Linked DNA regions of Saccharomyces cerevisiae S288C. The gene in region 1 interacts genetically with each later gene. Each region holds a gene or a part of one and is shown on either strand. Other genes may lie near its edges.

Region 1 (5,610 bases):
GCTATATACGCATTGTTGTAGCACTAAAGATCATATTGCTCATTAAGCATGGGTCCTGCCATACATAATCAACTATATGAATGTGGATTAAAGACTACGTCTCAAGATGGCTTCTTGATGGACAATTATGAAACTCAATTATTTCAATCGTTGAACAGGTTTATCAATTTCATAAACAATGCTAATCAGTCAGCTAGTAATAAAGAACAAAATACAAAATTTTGCAAATCCTCCTCAAATTTTTTACGCTTGAAACTACTAACGGTTCTAAGACAATGGTGTGATTCTTCACGAAGCAACTGTACACTGGAGGTTAGAGATGTTTTGACCCAATGGTGGGTCACACTTTTAAACTTTCTAAATTCTGACACCTCGCTTCAAATAGATACTGCCCTTGAATTGAGCTTGAGCATAGAACTAACTTCCGTGTGTCTCGAGTGCCTCAGCAAAATTATGACCATACTAATAATATTGCCTTTCCATTCATCCAGAGACATGGAAATATACTCACATCATCTTTTGCTGACCATTCATTGCATAACAAACAAGTTGATTTTGATTTCTAAAAACTCCAAAAAACTTAAACGTACAAATAGTGATGACAAGTGCTCTATAAACGACAAGAAGCTGCAATACCTTAACAAATATTCTTCCTTGCTGCGAGCATTCATCGGGAAGTTAAATGCTTACGCATTTTTTTATCTACCAGAAGACTTTCATTTCGATACAATTTTGTTATTGACAGTTTCTCCTCAAATCTCTTCAAGTATTCAAACATCTTTGTTTTCATGGAAGAAGAGACAATATAAATTCACCGACGATCAGGGACAAATGATCCGCACTGAAGCTTTTGAAAATAAAGATACTAAATTTTTTAAGATCATTGTTTCTTATATTAAAAATGATTTTGTACTTATGTCATTTTATTGGCACTATTGGTATATCATACTTCAATTTATGAAATTCTCTGATTCAGATGTAGGAATTAAAAAATCGACATTGTCATGCATACCTGGCTCAGAAATTTTATTGACGCATGTAACCACTAGATTCTTGAATTCAGATTTGAATAAATTCACGCGGATTATTAAACAAACGCCGAATCCAAGGATAGCAAATGAGAATGTGACAGAGTCACATCCAAATTTCAAGAGTTTGAATAGTAGCAATGCTTTAATTACATCTGAAAGGATTAATGATTACGTATTTTCTAATTTTAAGACAATCAAATTATGGGAATGTCTTAGAAGCCTTTCAGGATGCATTCTTAAAGAAAATCATCCGGAATACCTGGAAAATATGCTTTCCTTACATGAGTCTCTATTGATAGACTATGTCTCCACTATTTCAGCGTACGATTATATTGCAGCGAACGTCATTTACAATAAGGTTCTCCAGTTTATTATTTTCCAGTTTGAAAGTTTACCTTCTCTGAAATTCATTCAATGGAGGTCGTGGTACAATGGGCTTTTGAGTATGTTAAGGACCAAAAATGTTAACTGCCAGACTGTTTCTTTATTATGCCTTTTCAATATTTGGAAGCACGTAACCATTGAGGACCGCGATGAAATAGTAAAAGTGCTGTTAAGTGATTTTTGGGAGTCATTGATTTTTGAAAACGAATTTCCTTTGATTAGAATTTTATTTATGAAGGTATTAGTTTTTAAAATCATTCCAAGTGTTCAAAATTCTTCTTCATTACGATTCTTGCCACATGATAGAATTAAACAACTATATGAAGAGCTACTGGTAAACAAGGAGGAGTTATTTGAGATGCAAAAACACGATTCAAATGATATAGTGGCGCATAGAAAGAATGCTCTCGTTTTTAATGGTAACTCACGTTTGATGATGATTCCAAAAAAACCAAATACAGAGGACCACTTAGTTTATAAGATTAATCATGATAAAAATTTAACTACAGAAAGATTTCCCTCTGTCAGCTCAGTGGCAAATACAAGACCTAACGTTATCTTGAAAAATGGTAAATACGCTTATGATATTTTGGACGAAATGACAAGTAAAGCTGCCTTTCTTCTTGCAGAAAAGAAGACCCGACTAAATCCCAAAAAAAATCACAAAATTATGGATGGCTACGAAGGAGGTCAGGAAAACGAAGATAATGATGAAGACTCAGAAGATAGTGGCTCGCATAAAAATAAGAGAAAGGAAGGTAATAGTTCTTTATCGGCAACACTGAACACTTGGCTTTCAAAATTTTCAAGTACTTCTGAAGATTCACAGAAGAAGAAGGAACAGGCAAATGAATTAGGCAACGATTTTGAATATGATGAAGATGTGGCTGATTTTGCAGAAATTTTGCCGAAGCAGTCATCTAGTAATATTGAAAAAATTTTTAAGCATGGTAACAATTCAGGATCAATGGTATCATATAATTCAAGTATCAAGCTCAATAGGAGGGAGAATATATTGATAGGTCCACCAGAGTTGAGATTTTCTAATGAAATCAAGGAACACAATAGTATTGCTACAATATTCAAACTGGTATTTATTCAAACCAATAGAAGAGTCGTCGAAAAAATAGATTTGGCGAACATGAAATGGGGGACAATCCACGGAGGCAGTAAGTACATGAAGCCTTTACCCGTCCCGAAAGATTTGGTTGCGAGTGTTGCTAAGAACGAAAGTGAGACGAGAAACTTAGCTACCTTATGCGGTAATGGTCTAGATTTTGAGATACCGGTGCCTGATTTTAATATTTTTGGCAAATGTATGGAAGATGAGCAAGATGTAGCCAAAATTGGTAATCAGAATGTGGAAGATTTGAAAGTTACTGGGGGGCGGGAGGTGACAATTTGGAAGCAGATCCAAGATATGAAGTTGAGAACAAGGATACAAAAAATCTGTGTTTTAATTGAGACGTTCAATGCTACAGTAAGAGAATATTTTGAGTTTTCCAATCGATTAGAGCATGACGGTATATTTATAGATTTTGAAGTGAGGAAACCTAGTAGTAATAATTCTATTAATATCAAAGTCTGAATAATAGAATGAGTTACATACGTAAACGTGTAGTATTATTATTATTATTCTATTTCCTTTCCGTTTTTATTATTTATATATATATATATATATATATATATTTGGGTGTTTATATTTAGGTAGGGCATAAGGATTTACTGTCGGCATGAACCTACTTGAACAAAAAAATAAAAATCAAAAGAAAAATAATGTAGGCTTTTGCACATCGACTATATATAAATATATATATACACACTTCTGTGCAGAAGAAAAGGAATAAAACGTCAAACTAATTTATTTCTTCTTGCAACGATTCCGACTTCTCCTTTAAACGTGCAATTTCGTCATCGATGTCCTGAATTTTCTTCAATAGTTCAAAATTTTTCTCATCGCCGTGGTCATCCTTGGAAGCGCCGGATTGAGCAGCAGCTTCGGCAGTAACAGAGTCGTTCTTCTTGACATCGCTGGAGGCTACTGGAGGCGATGCTCTGTATATGTCTTTCATGGTTAAAAGTTCTATGACTAGCCCAAAAGTCCTAACGACGACAAAGGTCAAAAACAAAGTTATACCTGTCAAATACATATTCCTTTGGGCAAAGAATTTCCTAGAAAGAACCTCAATTCTATCTTGAGCGATTATAGCGCCATTATTTTGAGAGGCGCTACTTAACTGCAGCTCTTTGTCGATGCTGTACACTCTGTTGATACAATCGATGAAAAGCAAAAGAATGAACCCAAGTACACACTTGATCGCAACTTGCACTGTGGAGGATTTGAACGGCTTTAATAACAGTAAGGTGAGAGGCCTACGGTATCTAGAAGGGATTGGTAGGGCTAGAATGGAGAACATGAAAATCTCCACCACTAGAATGGCAAAAACCAAGGTGTAATATAATGACATGATTCAATTCTGTGAATTCTATGGTTATGAGTATAATGTGACGTGGTTACCTTGGAAGAGCTCACTATTCTATCTTCCTACTAAATCGGGATTTGCTATATACCATTGTTATATACGGCACTTTTCCACTCTTCTTCCCCTTAATGGAGTGAAGCAGGCAGGGTGACCCTCTAGCTAAAAAAAGAAAGAGGCGAAAAAAGAGTGCAACGTCAACAACGCTAAAAGAGAAAGGGAGAAACGCGCAAGTGTTTACGCATAGAGGGTGAACAGGAGCAAGAGCATTTTGATAGCACACAGACTTTTAATAATAAAGCGGCAGAGAATGACTCAAATAAATGCGCGATGATATTGGGAAGAGGCTCAAGCAATTCGTGAGGCGCAACCAACGCCAGTTTTTCGTTGCTCGTGCACAGTGACACGGTGGCAAAATGGTCGACGTTGGCGCTTGTTTCGGCCACTTTGTTATTCGGAAGAGATTTTATATATAAGGCGGGCGCGGTAGCCAGAAAAGAGCGAAAAAGAGAGAACGCGGAAAAACTGAAACAAACAGATTGAGCGAAATAAACCTCGGCGGCTATGTCTCGTACTAACATGGATACAAGACACGCACATTCTGCTTTACTGGCAGCACCACAGAGTGCTACTGCAAATAGCAGGAGCAGCAACAGCAGCAGCGAGAGTAGTAGTAACAAAAACAATATCAATGTCGGCGTCGGTGACGATAGCGGTAATGTCAGCGCGGTAAGTATCGACGATGGACCCCACTTCAGGGATATCTTCCACTATGGACACGAGGAAAATTACAAACTTGCGAGCAGCGGTATCACTAACCTGAATTCTTCATCCCACGCCCACCAAACTTTGTCTCCCATTTCCATTAGTAATGCATCCACTCCGGAAAGTTTTCCCGAGCACCCTTTGGGCCTAGAACGGGAAACAGAGCCGGCGTTGGAAGCTGAAATGGAAGCGGAGGAACTACCACCACACCAAAGTAAATACCTTTTAAGCTCCATTAAGGCGACCAAACGATTAAAAGATGCTAGACCGTTTCTGAAGCCGGTTGATCCTATTGCTTTGAACATCCCGCATTATTTCAACTACGTTCAAACCCCAATGGATTTGTCTTTAATTGAAACAAAATTGCAGGGCAACGTGTATCATTCAGTAGAGCAAGTCACATCGGACTTCAAAACAATGGTGGATAATTGTTTAAACTTTAATGGTCCAGAATCTTCAATCTCTTCGATGGCTAAAAGGATTCAAAAGTATTTTGAAAAAAAGTTATCTGCAATGCCACCAAGAGTTTTACCCGCTTCTGCCTTGAAGAAAACAAGCAGAAACCGGAAAAAAAATGAGGATATGGATTCCCCACTTGTCATTAGACGTTCAGTTAGTACCACCAATGACAATATTGGGGAAAGCGGAAATAGAGAAGGCGTCAGTGGTGGTAGACCCAAAAGAACAATTCATCCACCCAAATCAAAAGATTTGTTTGATATATATGAAAACTCCAAACCAAAATCAAAGACTTTACAAAAAAAATTCAGGACTTGTCTGAAAATACTAAAGGTTTTGATGAGTAAAAAAAATTCGGATATAAATTTTCCCTTTTTACAACCTGTTGATCCGATTGCTTTGAATCTACCAAATTACTTTGATGTCGTGAAGAATCCTATGGATTTGGGTACAATATCAAATAATTTAATGAACTGGAAGTACAAAACAAT
Region 2 (4,191 bases), on another chromosome or scaffold:
TGTAATGATTCCATTAGTTTGTGTTGAGATAGACACCGGTTCATTAGTGCGGTTCGCTGCTTGATAACAGCGATCGCATTTTCTGGTGAGTCCGCATACGCCATTGTGTTTTTCAGCTTCTTCTTTCTCGTCCTCCTCCTTTTATCGTTATATATTAACTTCACTGGGCCTTGTTGAGTGGTCGCACATACACCACCTTCTTTTTTTTTTTCTCTCTTTTCTTCTCTTTACTGAGGTGGCCCTTGAATAAATACAGCACTTTCTCGCATCTACCTCAACTGAAAAAAAAAAAAAAAAATAAAAAACGCCCCTTTAAGACGAAGTGACAAAGAGGCAATAGTTCAAAAGAAAAAAAAAAAATATAAAGACTGTTGATAGTTGAATTTTTATAAACGTTATGTTAAGTATATGTATTGATGGAAGGGATAATAGGATAATGGTGAATGTCTTGTTTTTTTATAGGTAGGCGGAAAAAGAAAAAGAGAGTCGTTGAAATGAGATTACAACAATCTCTCTTCGAATCTTAGTTCGTTTTGAGAAGGCAATCCAATCAACAATCTTAAAAAATTTTCTAAGGCGGTTCTTTGCTTGTTTAAGCCATTCACCGGGTGAAATCCTGGTCTTGTTAATGGAGCTTTTAACCAGTAACTCAAGAAGGTTAAAACTGGATAAAAGTTCTCGAATTTGCCAGCATCTTCTTTAACTGGGTCCACCTTCTTATAGGACACTCTTGTACAAAACTCAGTCATGACTAAAAGATCGATGATCAAGGGCGTAGCCAGTAAAGAATCTTCGCAAACATTGTGAATGGAAATCCGGTTATGGCCACCTAACATCAACTCACTGTAATACTCGTCCATTGCCACTTTTGAGTCCCCGACGGGCTTCATATATTTGATGACAATGCAGTGGTCAACTTTTTTACCCAGTTTATCATTGTACAAGATATCATTAGACGCGATGATGTCATCTATGACAGAACTTTTGGAAATCTCCTTAGACCTAAATTGTTTTGGAGCAGATAAGTTATAACCGTCATTATTGCCTAAATGGTTATAGGATGCAATGGAGACCGGTTTAATACCTGCATCCACTAAGAACTGGGCCAGAACAGACTTCAACTTGGTTTGTCCCGACTTGAGATCGTCTCCCGCAATGAATGTACCCTCATGCTCAGCCAGCTGAACCAAGCCGGGAACAAAAGTATTCTGCGGTGAACCATTAATATAGGGGACACCTTCCAAGATAGATGCTGCTGCAAAGATCGTGGAAGGAGCAATCTCTTCATGGTCATTCTTAATAGACTGCAAGAGGTTTTCCATGGTGTCATTAACACCAGGAGATACTTCTACGTACCTCTCAGTATTTGCAGTCCAAAGAACGATTACTTTATCAAGGGCGTTTTCTTCTTTGAAATTCTGGATATCGCGTCTGATGCGTTGCAGATGGGTCCACTTACCCCTCGTGGTTACGTTGCCTTTTTCATCCAAATTGATGCAGTTATTGGCTCTCTCATCTTGATTAGCTGCAATGAAATCAGGGTAGTAAATGGAAGGAAGAGGCTTCACCAAGGACATCTTCGCCTTCAAGCGTTGTTGCAGATCATATTCGAGAACTTGACTTCTCTGCATAGCTTCGTATAGATCTGCGTTATTGATGTCCCAACCAGAGACGACAAAGTCGTTTGGGCTAACCATGGGCAACAGAGAGTTAAAAGGAGCATAAACGTCATTCCCCTCCGCATCGATACCCAGTTTCAAGGTAGAACATTGAGTCATGGAGCCGAAGTAGTTTGGTTGCTTAACGCCTTCCTTAGTTTGAAACTCCACATTGTGCTTATTCGCCAATACCGAGGCCACTAAAGTGGAGCCATTGTTGCCACCTAACCCAATGAGCATAATTCCTAGTTTTTCCGGCTTTTTCAAGTCAAGTTTGAACACGTAGTCTTGAACAGTGGGCGTTACATCGAAGCGGCCACTAGCTGTCTTCGTAACTACAGCATTTTCGTAGCTGTACTTGGTGAGCAGCTCGTTGTCCTTGTACGTGCACTTGTCGGTAACTACTTTAACGGAGGTGATTGGAGCAATATTATCTTCTGTCATTGTTACTTCTTTTTCACTGGAAAAAAAAGGGAATGAAACAGAATAAATCAAGGATAAAACTAACATTAGGAACCCGACAACAGAACAAGCCAAAAAAAGGTGACGAAAGCTCCAATTTATATACGTCTCAAATTAACATTGCCGCCAACGCAGAGGTGCGCTTTCTCTGCTCCATGTGAATTAAATAAGTTCAATATTCTGGGAAAGAAGGATGAAGATAAAATAGACAATACTTTTCACATGCCGCATTTAGCCGCCGAAGCGCATACTTGGCCTCCGCATATTTCACATTCAACACTTTCGATTCCGCATCCAACCCCGGAACACCGGCACGTATTTCATAAAAAGGACGTGAAGAACAAAAGGAACGAAGAAAAAGGCAATAATTTACTCTATGTGTTATTTAGAACTACGGTGATAAAGAGCTCGTTCCGATCACTAAGTACGGCCGGAAGAGAGCTGTTGTTTGTTGTCCATCAAGGGCACATCGGCACCGGCCTCATCGTCTTCATCATATGCTGGAGGCTGTGCTTGAGATTCCTCTGCAGGGTGAGCTTCCAGGTCACGGTCTACGGCGGGCGCAGTCGCATGTCTGCGTGAAAGATCGTACGAACGTTCACTACTCGTTTCATATACAACGTAGCAAGCGTGAATGATTGCTGGGAAGAATAACAGTAGGAAGAGAAGTAAGTTCAATAGTGTATCCCTGTTGAACATACCCTTACGCTTCCAGACGGCCACTGGGGGAATGAAAACCGCCAAAACCATTAACAACAAGTCGTCCTTGTTGATGGAATAGCTCATTCGATGGTCATGGTCATTAATATGGTCTCTGTCCATTTCTAAATTATATTTGGTTGTTTGCTTTCTGCTGGGTTTTTATTTTTTAACCTAGCCCCTTTCCTGCAGCTGGCTCATTCGTGCTGTACTCTCTTTCCTTTATATACTAGTGAGACCTTTTCCCCCGTTCCCAAAAAGAAAAAAAAAAAAAAAAAAAGAAAACGAGCCTTCATCACGTGCATTAAAGAAATAGTAATCCCAACGCACTCATCCGCTATATACATAGCGAAAAACTATATGCCCACTTCACAAATACGAGTTTGCATGTATAATATATAAGATTTATAAATGTTGTAGGGTGAATGTAAACGTTCAGTAATATACCGGTATATCTATCAAGATACGATCAATGCAACGCTTTACTGCACTGCACTACACCCCTTTTCCTCTACTTGTTTTTCTTAGTTCCTATTTCCCTCTCAAAATGCACCTGTTCACCAGAGTATTCTTTCTCATTGCAAGTATTACCCTACTTTATCGTCCCACACAAAGAGGAATATATATAGATTATAAGCGAATTGTAGATTTCGATGGAGATCTGATTTCCGTGCAAAATATCCAGGACGTCTATACACAGTGTTTACAACTCAGCTTATATTCATATCATGCCATTTCAAGATTATTTTCAGAAGAAAAAAGCAGCGTTCATTAACAGAAACAATAAAAGTAACGCAGATGCTTCAGCGCTACGAGATATTAACGATATTAACATAAATTTCGCCGCCAAGAGCAAAAACTACGTGTTCCCGCTAACAAAGCTCCCCGATGAGCTCATGCAAGAAGTATTCTCTCATTTGCCGCAACCAGACCGCTTGCAGCTTTGCCTTGTGAACAAAAGGTTGAATAAGATCGCTACCAAACTGCTTTATAGAAGAATATATTTGAACGACTCAAATGTAGTGAAGAGTGACTTCATGCATCTCGCAATTAATTGGACCCTACTGAACTTGCCGTCTTCGTTGAAAGAAGAGGAGTCCCGCGATATCGCCAACTGCAAATTGAAAAAACTTATAGAAACACTGCAAAATAATATTCACATTACTGAAGTCATCCAGTGGATAAGGATCAACTGGGATTTGGACTCTACCTTGCAAAGGTCCATTCTCAGCATCCTTTGCAATCAGGGCAAGTCCTTGCAAAGACTAGAAAACGTCACTGACCCGGCTTGTAACGATATCATCTCCAATGGTCACTTTTCCAGGAGCAACGTCTCAAGTTTCGACATGGCTCCTCCAAATTCATTGCCTGA

Evidence for each region. Genes that interact genetically often act in the same process or in processes that back each other up.
Region 2: of YET3 (region 1) and INO1, extra expression of one rescues a mutant of the other (dosage rescue), as found in Saccharomyces cerevisiae (one study listed by BioGRID).

Annotation. Positions count from the first base shown.
Region 1 is NC_001136.10:326,565-332,174, forward strand, and holds YET3 (Yet3p), read right to left. Parts: upstream 3,884-5,610; coding exon 3,272-3,883; downstream 1-3,271. Other genes in the region: AHK1 (Ahk1p), read left to right, coding at 49-3,003; BDF2 (Bdf2p), read left to right, coding at 4,460-5,610. UniProt on the Saccharomyces cerevisiae protein: May play a role in anterograde transport of membrane proteins from the endoplasmic reticulum to the Golgi. May be involved in invertase secretion.
Region 2 is NC_001142.9:133,832-138,022, forward strand, and holds INO1 (inositol-3-phosphate synthase INO1), read right to left. Parts: upstream 2,103-4,191; coding exon 501-2,102; downstream 1-500. Other genes in the region: retromer subunit VPS35, read right to left, coding at 1-104; SNA3 (Sna3p), read right to left, coding at 2,541-2,942; SCF ubiquitin ligase complex subunit DAS1, read left to right, coding at 3,548-4,191. UniProt on the Saccharomyces cerevisiae protein: Key enzyme in myo-inositol biosynthesis pathway that catalyzes the conversion of glucose 6-phosphate to 1-myo-inositol 1-phosphate in a NAD-dependent manner. Rate-limiting enzyme in the synthesis of all inositol-containing compounds.